Linked DNA regions of Caenorhabditis elegans. The protein of the gene in region 3 interacts with the protein of the main gene of each other region in a pairwise test. Each region holds a gene or a part of one and is shown on either strand. Other genes may lie near its edges.

Region 1 (2,882 bases), on a different chromosome or scaffold from region 3:
CACATTGAAGTACGTCCAAATGTATCGACAAAAGCGTACGAGGTCAGTTCGACATCATCTGAATCAAGTGACGACGAGACTCCGCTCATTGCTTTGGAAAAGCAGCGGAAAAAGGAGAAAAAGCTGAAAAAGAAGGCGAAAAAAGAAAAGAAGAAGGCGAAGAAACTCGAGAAAAAGGAGAGAAAGAAGGAACGGAAAGAGAAGAGAAGGCGACGAGATGATTCTGATGATAGTAGTGATTCTGATGAGGAAGAGGATAGAAAAAGGAAGAAGAGCAAGGAAAGTAAAAAGGAAAAAAGAAAACGCCGTCATTCTTCCTCAGATGATAGATCAGCTTCTTCCGATTCTGATGATGACTGTCGTGACTCGAAACGTCACCGTAGATCATAATCGTGTAATATTGATATTTTAACTCTAAATTTTTATTCCGACAGTAACCACCTCCACATTAATATTTTCTCTATTCAAATTTCTATTGTTTCTCTTGTGTCAAAAAGTCCCCATAGTGAAGTTACTAATTAAATTAAAAACAAAAAATTTTATAACTTATTTCGACTTCACTTTAATCAAAAATTTGAGATCTTTATTGAATTTCTGTGACTTGTATTTGTTCCAAATGATCTGTTATTTTTTTTCTTCTTGTTTTTCAATTACGAATAAATTGTATTTCATTCGTCTTCCTCGCTTCGTTTTGGCGTTAGCTCGGCTGACACTGAAATTTGATGAACTTTTTAAAAGTATTCAAATTAAAATATCTGCACCTTCAGCATAAACTTCTGGATACTTTGACGACAAAACTGTTTTGAACATGCGAATTTTTTTGAAAATAAATTCCAAATCAGTTTTCATCTGCAGAATTGTCTCTTTGTGTCCCACAGAATCCCTTTTTGCTTTTTCAATTCTTCGATCGCCGAGTTGAGCGCAATTCATGAGCATTTCATTTGTCTTTTCGAAGCGTTTCAAGCTGAAAAAAAAAGAAAAATCAATAAATTCTAAATTCTCCAGTATATTACCTCTGTCTCTGAGTATCAATTATGCTTTGAATTGTGAATTCGTCGATTTGAGAAGTGAGCGAATCGATGAGATGTGGTGTTTCCTGCATATTATTAAATATTTTTATTCCTTTTTCCCATTATTATTATTAGAAAGCTTACGGGCATGTCAAATGAAGAGCCAGCGTTGCTTCTTGATGGGAAAAACGGGTTGCCAGGTAGTCGTTCTTGTTGTTGGTGATTTTTCTCAGCCATTTATAACTGAAACAAAAAATTATTAATAAATGTTTTATTCTAGACACAACAAGACATAAAACATGAATAACGGCTGAAGCAGGGATTGAGAAAAACAAGAAAAAAGCATGAGAAAATGGAAGAAAAGAGCCGCGCGCTGTGAGTGTGCAACTCGAAAATGTCAAAGCAAATTTATCGATTTACGCACGCGCGCACTTGCTGACACGCATCTGGACGGCGTTCCGTTTCATTTGAAAATAGTTAAAATTAAGCTAATTGTTGATTTATTTATTGAATATCAATTATAAATCTTTTCACGAGAATCCATTAGTGACCACCACCACGCTCCGCTAGTCTCCCCGCACCTTTATCGATTCGATTCGGTCAACCGAATGTTTGTTCAAGCTGTTGCGCATAGATTTGTGTTCTTGTTCCGCTCATATCACATATATTTTTGCAGTTTTTGATGCCAAATGGTGAGGAAACGAAGACGTTACTATACTGGAATGACATGCTAATGATGAAGATTATCGAATTTGTTGAGAGGTTCAAAGATCGAAATTCACTGGAGCTTTCGAGTCGAAGATTGAGAGAATTGTGCTTGAAAACTCCGATTTCTGGAAATTTTGCGATTCGATTGGAAGAAGATCCTAATGTGAGATTGCTTATAATTATTTTAAACCTGTATTATAATTATGTTTTATTTCAGTGGCCATCAATTCTCACTCTTCTCATGCGACCTCGTAATTTCTCGTCCCGTCTTTCAGTTCGAAACTGTTCAGATGTTCCTGAAGATGAACGTAGCGAAATAGTAGGCTATAATTACAAGGATACTATTCAAAATCCAGGTAATTACTGCAAAAACGATAATTTTCAGGAATTTATTATTAAATTTAAGATGTTTTCTTCAACGGAGTCAGCAAGCGACTTCTCAATCGGATAGTGGAGTTTGAAATTAGATGCCGTCGATTTACTGTACAAATTCTGGACAATATAGAAAAGTTTCCCAAATTAAACAGAATCATTGTGAGAAATGCACGAAACTTTTCGTTTGAATTGGATGAGGAATCAGGCGACGCCGCCGTTTTGGATCGAATCGAATCATTGGAACTTCATCTCGATCGACAATGGTGTACGGAAATTGAACGAATGAAACGACTAATAAATCCAAATTTGAAACATTTCTGCTGCCACGTCAATCCGAGCCTATCTAAAAACTCGTGGTTCATTGAAGAAATTATGGTCGAGATGGCATTGCATGAAGTTCAACTGGAAACGTGTCAGCTGGTTTTTCCTGATCCACAAATGCCGCGAAATCTTATTATTGCTTTGACTCAATTCATGTCGGATAGATCACGAGTTTTACAAGTATTCATCACAAATGGACCATATAATCTTTCACCGACAAGAAAAATGATTCCAACTTTGAATATTCAATTTCGAGACGAAGAGGATAATACTGTCAAGGATCTAGCTGATGCTTGCCCGTCGATATTCAAAAAAGCAGAAGTTATTCATATGACGAATCTTCACGAAGACGGCTTTATTCAACTCGAAACGGTTCTGCCGATAATGTACTCTGTCAAAGAGCTTCTCATATCGTATGTTCAATTTTCGAAAAAAAAAGAGTAGAGTCGTTTGCAAAATTGAAAAAAA
Region 2 (5,401 bases), on a different chromosome or scaffold from region 3:
AATGTCGCAACAAGTAAACGGGAGAAAGGAGCAATAAGACACGTAACTTATAAAAGGTTAAGAAATGATCCAGAATGAGCGATCCTCAGCTTATATATCTAGGCGTTCGGCGGTTAAAGGAGCAGCCTTTATCGACGATGGGTCTCGGCGCGGAGAATGCGACCACGGCGGCTGGGCGGCAATTCAAACGGGGACGCGTCGGCACCAGGGGTGTGCGGCGAATCGAATTTTTCGGCGATCGGCGAATTCGGCGCTCGCCGATTTTTGAAATTTTCGGCGAACGGCGAATTTCGCTCTGCGAGTTCGCCGATTCTCGTACGGTGAATTCGGCGATTTTTCGGCGAACGGCGAATTCGGCGAACGCCGATTTTCAAAATTTTCAGCTAACGGCGAACTCGGCGAATCGAAAAAATCATCGGCGAACGGCGAATTCGGCTAATATTCGCCGCACACCCCTGGTCGGCACGATGATTTGTGAAGGAAAAGGGCCTGATTCTTACAATAGAACTGCGATGAAACAATCATTTTCACAAGAACACATAAAAAATAAGAAACTTCTTCATTTCTCAGCGATCGTTAGGAAAGGAATTGTAAAATAGATAAAATAGGATACAACACGGAGCAAAACATAAAACAAAAGTGTGTTGTGAAAAAGTTATATTACAATGTATGAAAGTATATTTTACTGCTTTTTGCTCGAAAAAGCAGAAAAAATCGAATCCCGACGGTTCTTTTTCTTGGACTTCTTGATATTCTCCTCGTCTGCGGATGGCGAATTCGTACTTCCAACTTCAGAGGCGTACGAGCATTTTAGGTGTGGCTTCACTTTCTCGTTTCTGGCAGTGAGCACTCCAACTCTTTCCTTGGTTACTCCGGATGGTGTGAATGGTTGCTTGAACTCTCCAGCTGATGATGGCGATGCCAATTGGATAGATTCCGATCGCATCGACGAACGTTGAAGACTAGACCGGTCGAAGAAATCCAAAGAGCAAATTGACTCACGTCCATCGTACTGAAAATTGAACGTTCTGGACAATATTTGTGGTAAGAAATTGTCTCGTCTATATAAGAAATTGTCTCGTCTCACAAAATTGAGGTTGCATAATAATAAACTGATTACCATATTCGACTTGAATCCAATCGGTGTTCCTTTATCGAATTCGTTGTCGTCCACACTAGGAGCAATCGATTTTCTTGGGAACGTGGCAAGCTGTGCTCGCAATTCTTCTTCGGTAATTGTTGGTCCATTATCGGCGAGGAAGTCTGGCAAGCTGTCTGGCGAACCGCATCTGATTCTCGAACCTCTCATTGGAGCTTGTTGGAAGATTTCTGAAAAACAAGATTGAAAATTCAATTTCGAAACGTTAAATATGAACTCACTGATTCTCTCACCCATCCAGGTGGATTTCTTAATCTCGGCGCTTTCCTTCTCTCGAAGATCTGCAACTTCGTGCTCGAGACGTTGAATCAGATCCACTCTAGATTGAAGGAACAGCTAAAAAGTAAGTAATGTTGTATTCAATTTGATATTCAACAAGCAAACCTCTTTCTCCTCCAATTCGGCTTTATGCTTCATTACCACACTTGCGAAGTTTTCTTTAAGGGTGACTGTTTCGTTCTCTTTTTCCGCTAGAGAATTCTTGAGAATTGCCAACTTCTCGGCAAATTGAGCTGAGGCCTGATCGCGTATTGCCTTTTCATTCTTTATCAGATTGGCAGCTCGTTTGTTCTGCTCCTCTTGAAATTTGATGATATCGTCCTTACTCTTGCACGCAACTTCCAACTGCTCAATTTGTCTTTTCGCATTTTGAAGACAAGAACCCATTGACTGAAATTCTTCGTTGCTTTTATGTACAGCTTTGTCGACATTCAGGGACTTTTCATTCAGTTCATTCCAGAGATTCATCAAGCGCTTTTTCTCGTTCCTCTCTTCGTCAAGGTCAGCCTGAAGGCGTGCATTCGTGGATTTCATCATTTTCTCTCTTTCCGAGTGTTCCAAACGAAGAGCATCGATTCTGGAGTTGGCCATGCTCAACGCTTCAAGCTTTTCTTGTCGGAGTTTGTCCACAGTCTCTTCAAAACGCGCCAGTTCCTCGGAAAGCATAGTTTTAGAGTTGTCAGCATCTTGTTTGTTTCTCAATGAAGCAACACTCAACTCCTCAACACTGGCAGAAAGGCTCTCGTTTTCAGATTTCAGAGACGCTCTTATTTTTTCCACTCCGGTAAGTTGTTCCTGGAGGTCAGCCATTTGGTCCTGCGTCGCCCGAAGAGTCTCAGTAAGCTCCTGTTCCTGCTGACGGAATCTAGCGAATTCATAGTCGTTGAGATCTCGAAGCTCTCTGGCCTGCTTCATGAGCTTCCCATTGTCTTCGGTCACCGTTTTCAGCTTAGCAGTAAGATTCTCTTTCTTTATGTCAGCTTCCTCCAGACTTCTTTGCTCGGATCTCAACGTCATTCGAGATTCATTGAGTTGTTGGAGAATGTTGTGGACTTCATCCTTTTTGGCTTCGAGATCACAGCTCAATTCTTCAGCACGAAATTGTGCCTCCTCGGCGATACCTTTCAGTTTAGCGATGTCGCTTTTCAGATCGGAATTCCTAAAATATTTTCTCCATATTTTAAATTCAATGTACCATTTTACTTACGAAAGCTTCAAAGTTCTGTTCTCAGCCGATAACTTGGTCTTGTCATCTTCAAGGTCTCCTAACATTTGCTCCAAACCAAAGATTCTCGCTTTAGACTGCTTCAGCTCCCGCTCGCTTCGCATGAACTTCATGGTAGGGGAATCGACAGCCTCCGCTATAGGGCTTCGCCGAGCAGTTGAGGAAGCTGTGCGTAGTCGCCGGGCAGTAGCTGTTGGTGTTTGCAATGATGTCAAGCTGTAGTTGTTCCTTTTCGGAGTCCTGAAGCCACTGGATGCTTCCTGATCTTCGTCATCTCTCCGAAGACATGCCCACCAGTCGTCAGCGGTACTTTCCGAATACACGTTGTCGAAAAACAAAAACATATCAAGAAGCACAGCTGTGTCGACGCGATTCTCTGATGACGCTTGCTCCAATGCGCGAGTGAGCATTCCCGAGTGATCCTTTCTCATATACTCGAGAAACAGAGCGTAGAATTTGCAAATCTCCAGTGAATCTCCGCTCGCTGCAAGCTTCGGTTCCAATGAATCGGTCATGAAGCTGAGACTCGTTGTGGCGATTTTGCGGAAGATAACTTCATAGAATTTGTCAGCTGTGCCAAACTCCCGAGTGTCGCATGACCTGAAAAATAAAATATGAAATTGTTTATGAATGAGCTATTACTTACATCATACTGGCGATCATACTCCCGTGCCTCTCCCAAAGCTCGGCTAATGAGCTGATTGTCTCCGTCTTCGGTGTGAAATTGGAGCCAAAATAGTTCGTCAATTGTAGCATTGACTTCACAACTGATGTGCTCACGCTCATTCTGCAGAAGGAGTAATTATTCAAAGAAAATGCGAGTGGTTGAGCGAAAGAACGAGAGAGAACGCATACATAAACGAAGAATATTTAAAAGACGCACGCAGAATGTCTGCGTCTCTTACACCATGCTCGTACACTTTTCTCACGACACTTCTAAAAACAGCGGGAATTCAAATGACAATTTTTCCATGGACCTGCAGGTCAACATGCACAAGTCTACCAAAAAAATATTAAAAGGACGAATAATAAATAAAAATGAAGCTGTTAAAAAGTGGGATGACACACTGATTGAAATGAACATTAGAGGAATCTAACATGAAAAATAAAACCAAAAATGCGCGCGCGCGCGAAAATGGTTTCATTCTTTATTTATAAAACCATGTGAAAGATTATGTGCATGCGCCTTTTAAAAAAACCGTATACACATTGCTGAGTTTGAAATTATTTAATGAAAACAAAGAAAGAACATTCCTTTTTTAGGGGACAAAGTTAAGTGCGCCTTCCAATAAAATCTTTATTTTCACAACAAAAAATCTTACAGTAGCTTTCATTTCATATATGTTTAATACTTTTCGAGGAAACTTCTTGATTGTTCTCAAAAGAAAAGCTCTGTAATTGACACACTTTAAGTTTTCAGGCATGGAAAGTTGGTTTTGGTTCATATTTATTTAGCGAGAAGAATAAATAATTTCTTCTTAAAATCTCACCGCACCGTCTAAAAACTACTGCATTATTCTCAAAGTATGAAACCTTTTTCAAACTCTTGATTAGTCGTTTTTTTTTTAAATTTTCATTAGCTGATAATATCTGGCCATTTCGATTGGCTTCGCCCATATGGAGGTCGATTATGATTCATTTGCGATTCCTCTTAATAACCTTACACTTTGTTCTCAATATCAAACAATGAAGCAAACTGATACATATTTATGAAAGATTATCATGGATAAGAAAAGCAAACGGATATTTATTGGAAGCGTCCGAGAGTTATTCAATTGGCTTTCTGCACGTAGTAGCATCAATTTGAGTTACTTGGGTGAGGGTCATCATAACTTTTCTGCGATATTGGTTTGTATCATTGAAATAGAACGGGTTTCTCTCCAAGTATACAGTTTGAAGACCCTTTAACTTTGAAAGTTGCTCAATTTCGGAGAAGCTTTCCACTTTGTTGTCGTTTGCCTGCAATAATAAAAGATATAGAAGAAACGTAAAATGTCTCGGTTACCCAGAAATCATTAAGACTTTCTAGTCTTTCAACGCCACTGAACGTTTTGATTTCGTTATTTGCAACATCCAAAAGAAGTAAATTAGTCTGCAAAAAAGACCCATTTCTCAGTGTATTTTGAATTGCTTTTTACCAGAGGTTCGACGCCATGAATATCTTGTAGACCCTGATCACTGAGGTAAAGTTCCTTCAGATTATTCAGTTGCTCAACATTTTCAATTTTCACAATACGATTTCCCGGCAAGCTGAGAACACTGAGCTTCTGCAAGGTCTCCACTCCCTCCAACTGACGAATTTTATTTTTGCCGATAAATAATTCATCCAAATTTACAAGGTGACCAATGTTCTCGATTTTCTTGATTCTGAACACAATTTGTGATTTTGATGTTGAAACATTCCATATTTACCGATTATCTCCCAGTTCGAGCAGTTTGAGCTGCGTCAAAGCTTCTAAATTTTCGATTTTTTCAATTTTATTGCTGACAAGGTAAAGAGTCTCGAGCTTTGTCAATTTATCCAAGCCGTTGATTTGGCGTATTCTGAAAGTTATTATTGAAATAAAAGTTTCTTAAATTCTTCACCTGTTATAGCTCAGATCAAGAGAAACCAAATTTACGAGTGATTCGAGATGCGAAATTTCGGTCAACTGATTTTCGTACAAATCCAGGGATGTCAAAGTAACTAACGAAGAAATTGTGGGGCTAATTGAAACCAGAAGATTATTGCGCATTCT
Region 3 (4,215 bases):
ATAATCTTCTTTGCTTAGTGCATGCGTTGTGTGAAGTTGAGCTGTAACATAATGTTTTAAAAAAGCAGAAAAGAATTGGTTTATCACCAAATGGAGAATTATTAACCTAATTTTGTTGTGGAAGTCGTAGGCGTGGATACTTGAGCTAATAAAGGTACAGATCGATGAATGAGCCCGCTTGAACGGTTTAAGACAAACATTCCGAGTACCCTGAAACAAATTCACATTTTAAAATATAGAACATTCTAAAATAAATAATAAATTAATAAAATTAAAATAAAAAAATAAATGTTTTTTCAAGCTGTCTGCAAACACCGTCACGGTAAAACACACATTTCGGACGGAACATCGGAGCATCGTTTGGATTTTTCAATTTTCAACTTTTTCTCCGCGAATTTCAAAATCCGGCTCTTTTTCGGGAAACAATGCTTATTTACTTTCAACAATAATAAAGCTGGAATGGATGAACCGGATAAGGAGAAAATCACGAAAGTCATCAACGTATGTAGTAAAGAGTCTATAGAAATATGACTTGATGGATTTTCGCTAATTGAAAAAATCAGCTTTTCTGACCAGCAAATAAAATAAAAGAACCACTAAAATGATAATAATATTTACTGAAAGAAAGTAAAAAAAAAATAAATAAAGAAAGTTTGATTGTATTATTTGACAGAAAAAATAATGGTCCTATTTGGACGTCATTGTCACATCATCGCTTCGAGTATCATCGCCCTGCATCGAATTTGTAGAATCCAATGACGATTTGCTTTTCTTCGACCTCTTCAGGATCCTATTCATTGTGTGACCATCGAACTTCATCGACTGCACTTTTGTCCAATTGGCACGGAGTCCAGGGAGGATTCTGTGACTCTTTGTAGTCTTTTTCGATGCCGATGACACTGGACGAGCTGGAAAAATATAAATTTGCATACTTATACGCTTATTTATAACATTTCTTACGCGGAATGAATCTGGCAGCAGGCAGTTCAGTTCTTTGATCATCCATACGTGAGCTCATACTGAAAATGAGATCCATCATGTCTACGGGTTCCTCGTTCTCTTTCTTTTCGATCGCCACTGGTTTCTTCTGGTCGTCAATGATTCCGTTGACAATCATTTCCCAGGTTTCCACATTTGTTGCGTGCTCCAGTTCGACGACGAACTTATTAATCATGTCATTCGAGGATGTCGGATCAGGAGACGAATCAATTGCGAGGCATACATCTTGATCAGTTGCCGTTTCGCTTCTCTCTTGATTCATCGCCACGTCGATCTGCTCGTAGAACAGTTTGAAACTGTTTTGGTTGATGGTCAGAACACTCCCCAAGATGATAAAATAAGCAGCTTGGCGTCTTTTTCCAAGTGCAATGAGGCACTTTGCGATTGTAAGCAACACATCTCCAATGTATTCGTTCAATCCAAGCTTCCGAATCGATACAAGCGCTTCCAATCCGTAGAGATATGCTTCGTGGAATTCGCCATTTCTCAGCATCTCTTCGGATAGCTTCGACTTATATTTGACTACATCTCGCTCTTTTCCGAATTTCGTGGCGTAGAAGAGAGCACTTCTGTGAATAAAGAATTGATATTTTTATTAATCGTTAAAACTAAAAATTACCTGAGATCTCTGATAATAAAGAAAAGAAGATCTGTCTCAGCATATAGAGCCTTGTCGTAATAGGCGATGTGAACTGCTTCAAACTGGTCTGTTTTGATGGCAAAATCGATGCATTCTTGATACTTGCGACGCGATTCCTCGTATTTTTCGTCTAGTGACAAGCATTTCGCCTCAAGTAACATGATTTTGGTCTCAGACACAGCTCCTTCCGTATTATTCTCGTTGAACAATTTCACGGCTGCAATCTGTTCAGCACATATTGACAAAAGCTTCTTCTTCTCATCTTGATTACTCTCGACGTCTCTTTCACATCCTTCGAGGCACACGGAAGCGAACAAAATTCGAGCTTGACCGATATACTTCTCTCCGTTCTTCTTATTGCTGGTGTAATCAATGAGATCCTCAGCAAACCGTCGAGCCTTGGGGAACTTTCCCATTTTGAGTGCCTGCTCGACGATGCGACGTGTGGAATCACATGCTTCTGGGTAGTTGAAGATCAATCTGAAAAATTAAGGTTATAGAATGTCCAGCTCATTTTTGTGATTCACTTACTTGAACATGTTCAACTCATGTTCGAAAAACTCCAAGGCCTTGGCATCATGGTTCAAATGCCTGCACACTCTTCCGTAATACATGTAGATTGTACCAAGTAGTTGAAAATTTGAGGTTCCGAACTCCATTATCTCCTCTAAGCGTCCTTTTCCATCCTCGTATTGTCCCAATCTCATGGCCGTCACCGCGCTTTTCAGCATTGCTTCGGCGACTTCATCCTTGGGACCATCGTAATAAGAGACGTCCATTCGTTTTGCGAATGTGGAAACTTCTGAAATGAATCGAAAATTGCAAGCAAAAATAAAAGAAATAGAGGAATTTTACGGAAACAGGCAAAACATTCCCGCGATCTCCACGAATACACGAAATATTTAAAACGGGGAAAGTTTCTTCAAATATCTCACGAGGTTTAATAGACTATTGCACATTTTGTTATAAATTTTACAAATCTTCAATAAAACAACCGCTGACAAACAAATAAACTTGAAAAATGACTCGAGAATCTCGAGACAGATCTGTGGGGAAGTGAAAATTGGCGGTTAACGCGTAGTTTTTTCTCGCGCACTCAACTTCTAATTTGGCGCCGCTTTCTGATATGTCGTCAAATGTGTTGCCGATGTACGTAAGTACACCATTACGCGCATTTGCACACTCACAATCAGTGGAGTTTCTCCGCGAATTTCAAAATCCGGCTCTTTTTCGTGAAAAATGCTGACTTTCAACGATAATAAAGCTGGAATGAATGGACTGGATAAGGAGAAAATCACGAAAGTCATCGAAGAAAACACATCAGCGTCCTACTCGTCGTTTTCCAAAAAACAACAATCAAGAATTGAAGAGAAAGTTTTAGAAATCAAAAATCGTTTGCAAACAGCAACCAGAGAAGAAAGACAAAAATCTGAGATACTGGTATGTATTTTAAAAGCTAATAAATTTACTTAGAGCAAATTTCCAATTTTCAGATGGAGAATCTTGAGATGAAACTGGAATCATCTAGAGATTTATCAAGAGACTGTGTTTGTATAGATATGGATGCTTATTTTGCCGCAGTTGAAATGAGAGATAATCCTGCACTGAGAACAGTTCCTATGGCCGTAGGCTCATCGGCAATGCTGGTAAGCACCTAACTCAATTTGAAAAGTAAATTTTCGATTTCGGAAAAGCTTTAAATCTATTCTTTCAGAGCACATCCAACTACTTGGCTCGCCGTTTTGGAGTCCGTGCTGGAATGCCTGGCTTCATCTCAAATAAACTTTGTCCGAGTCTAACGATTGTTCCAGGAAATTACCCTAAATACACTAAAGTCAGTCGCCAATTTTCACAAATTTTCATGGAATACGATTCGGATGTTGGAATGATGTCATTGGATGAGGCATTTATAGATTTGACAGACTATGTGGCAAGTAATACAGAAAAAAGTTAGTGATTTAGATTTGATTATTAACAAAAAACTATTTGCTTACTAGAAACCTTCAAGCGTCACAGATTCGGCGGAGATTGTCCATGTTGGTTACCCCGTTTCGACGAGAATGAAAATACTTTGGAAGACTTGAAAATCGAAGAATCGATCTGTCCAAAATGCGAAAAATCGCGGAAAATCTACTACGACCATGTGGAGTTCGGAACTGGACGAGAGGAGGCTGTTCGAGAAATTCGATTTCGAGTTGAACAACTCACGGGATTAACATGTTCTGCTGGAATCGCATCTAACTTTATGCTCGCTAAGATTTGTTCTGATTTGAACAAACCAAATGGTCAATATGTGTTAGAAAATGATAAAAACGCGATTATGGAGTTTTTGAAGGATTTACCGATTCGTAAGGTGAGACTATTAAAGCATAACCTTCTAGTTTTACCTAGATAATTTTTTAGGTTGGAGGAATTGGTCGTGTATGCGAAGCTCAACTGAAAGCAATGGATATTCAAACTGTTGGTGATATGAATCTGAAGAAGAACCTATACCCTTTGTGTTTCACGCCTCTCTCACAAGAATCTTTCCTTCGAACGGCTCTCGGACTGCCAGGTCGTCCATCTGAATCGGATCC

What was found.
Region 1: the proteins of gpr-1 (region 3) and kxd-1 interact in a two-hybrid assay, tested with the Caenorhabditis elegans proteins (2 studies listed by BioGRID).
Region 2: the proteins of gpr-1 (region 3) and lin-5 interact in a two-hybrid assay, tested with the Caenorhabditis elegans proteins (6 studies listed by BioGRID).

Annotation. Positions count from the first base shown.
Region 1 is NC_003283.11:7,219,844-7,222,725, reverse strand, and holds kxd-1 (KxDL domain-containing protein), read right to left. Parts: upstream 1,258-2,882; 5' UTR 1,248-1,257; coding exon 1,155-1,247; intron 1,097-1,154; coding exon 1,014-1,096; intron 965-1,013; coding exon 762-964; intron 713-761; coding exon 669-712; 3' UTR 570-668; downstream 1-569. Other genes in the region: C13F10.7 (CCHC-type domain-containing protein), read left to right, coding at 1-390; C13F10.6 (FTH domain-containing protein), read left to right, coding at 1,747-1,881, 1,936-2,074, 2,125-2,827.
Region 2 is NC_003280.10:7,858,708-7,864,108, reverse strand, and holds lin-5 (Spindle apparatus protein lin-5), read right to left. Parts: upstream 3,451-5,401; 5' UTR 3,450-3,450; coding exon 3,310-3,449; intron 3,264-3,309; coding exon 2,646-3,263; intron 2,598-2,645; coding exon 1,544-2,597; intron 1,496-1,543; coding exon 1,381-1,495; intron 1,330-1,380; coding exon 1,121-1,329; intron 1,013-1,120; coding exon 683-1,012; 3' UTR 546-682; downstream 1-545. Other genes in the region: sds-22 (Protein phosphatase 1 regulatory subunit SDS22 homolog), read right to left, coding at 4,431-4,622, 4,669-4,755, 4,802-5,030, 5,076-5,207, 5,250-5,401. UniProt on the Caenorhabditis elegans protein: Essential component of the spindle apparatus required for spindle positioning and chromosome movement. Acts to recruit or anchor gpr-1/gpr-2 complex to the spindle and cortex.
Region 3 is NC_003281.10:8,627,160-8,631,374, reverse strand, and holds gpr-1 (G-protein regulator 1), read right to left. Parts: upstream 2,450-4,215; 5' UTR 2,419-2,449; coding exon 2,171-2,418; intron 2,120-2,170; coding exon 1,619-2,119; intron 1,569-1,618; coding exon 961-1,568; intron 909-960; coding exon 688-908; 3' UTR 599-687; downstream 1-598. Other genes in the region: DnaJ homolog dnj-10, read right to left, coding at 1-41, 107-200; polk-1 (DNA polymerase kappa), read left to right, coding at 2,879-3,079, 3,133-3,285, 3,354-3,588, 3,637-3,992, 4,043-4,215. UniProt on the Caenorhabditis elegans protein: In the 1-cell embryo, probably together with gpr-2, controls nuclear rotation and spindle elongation during mitosis. Complex of gpr-1 and gpr-2, in association with lin-5, activates G-protein signaling to affect mitotic spindle force.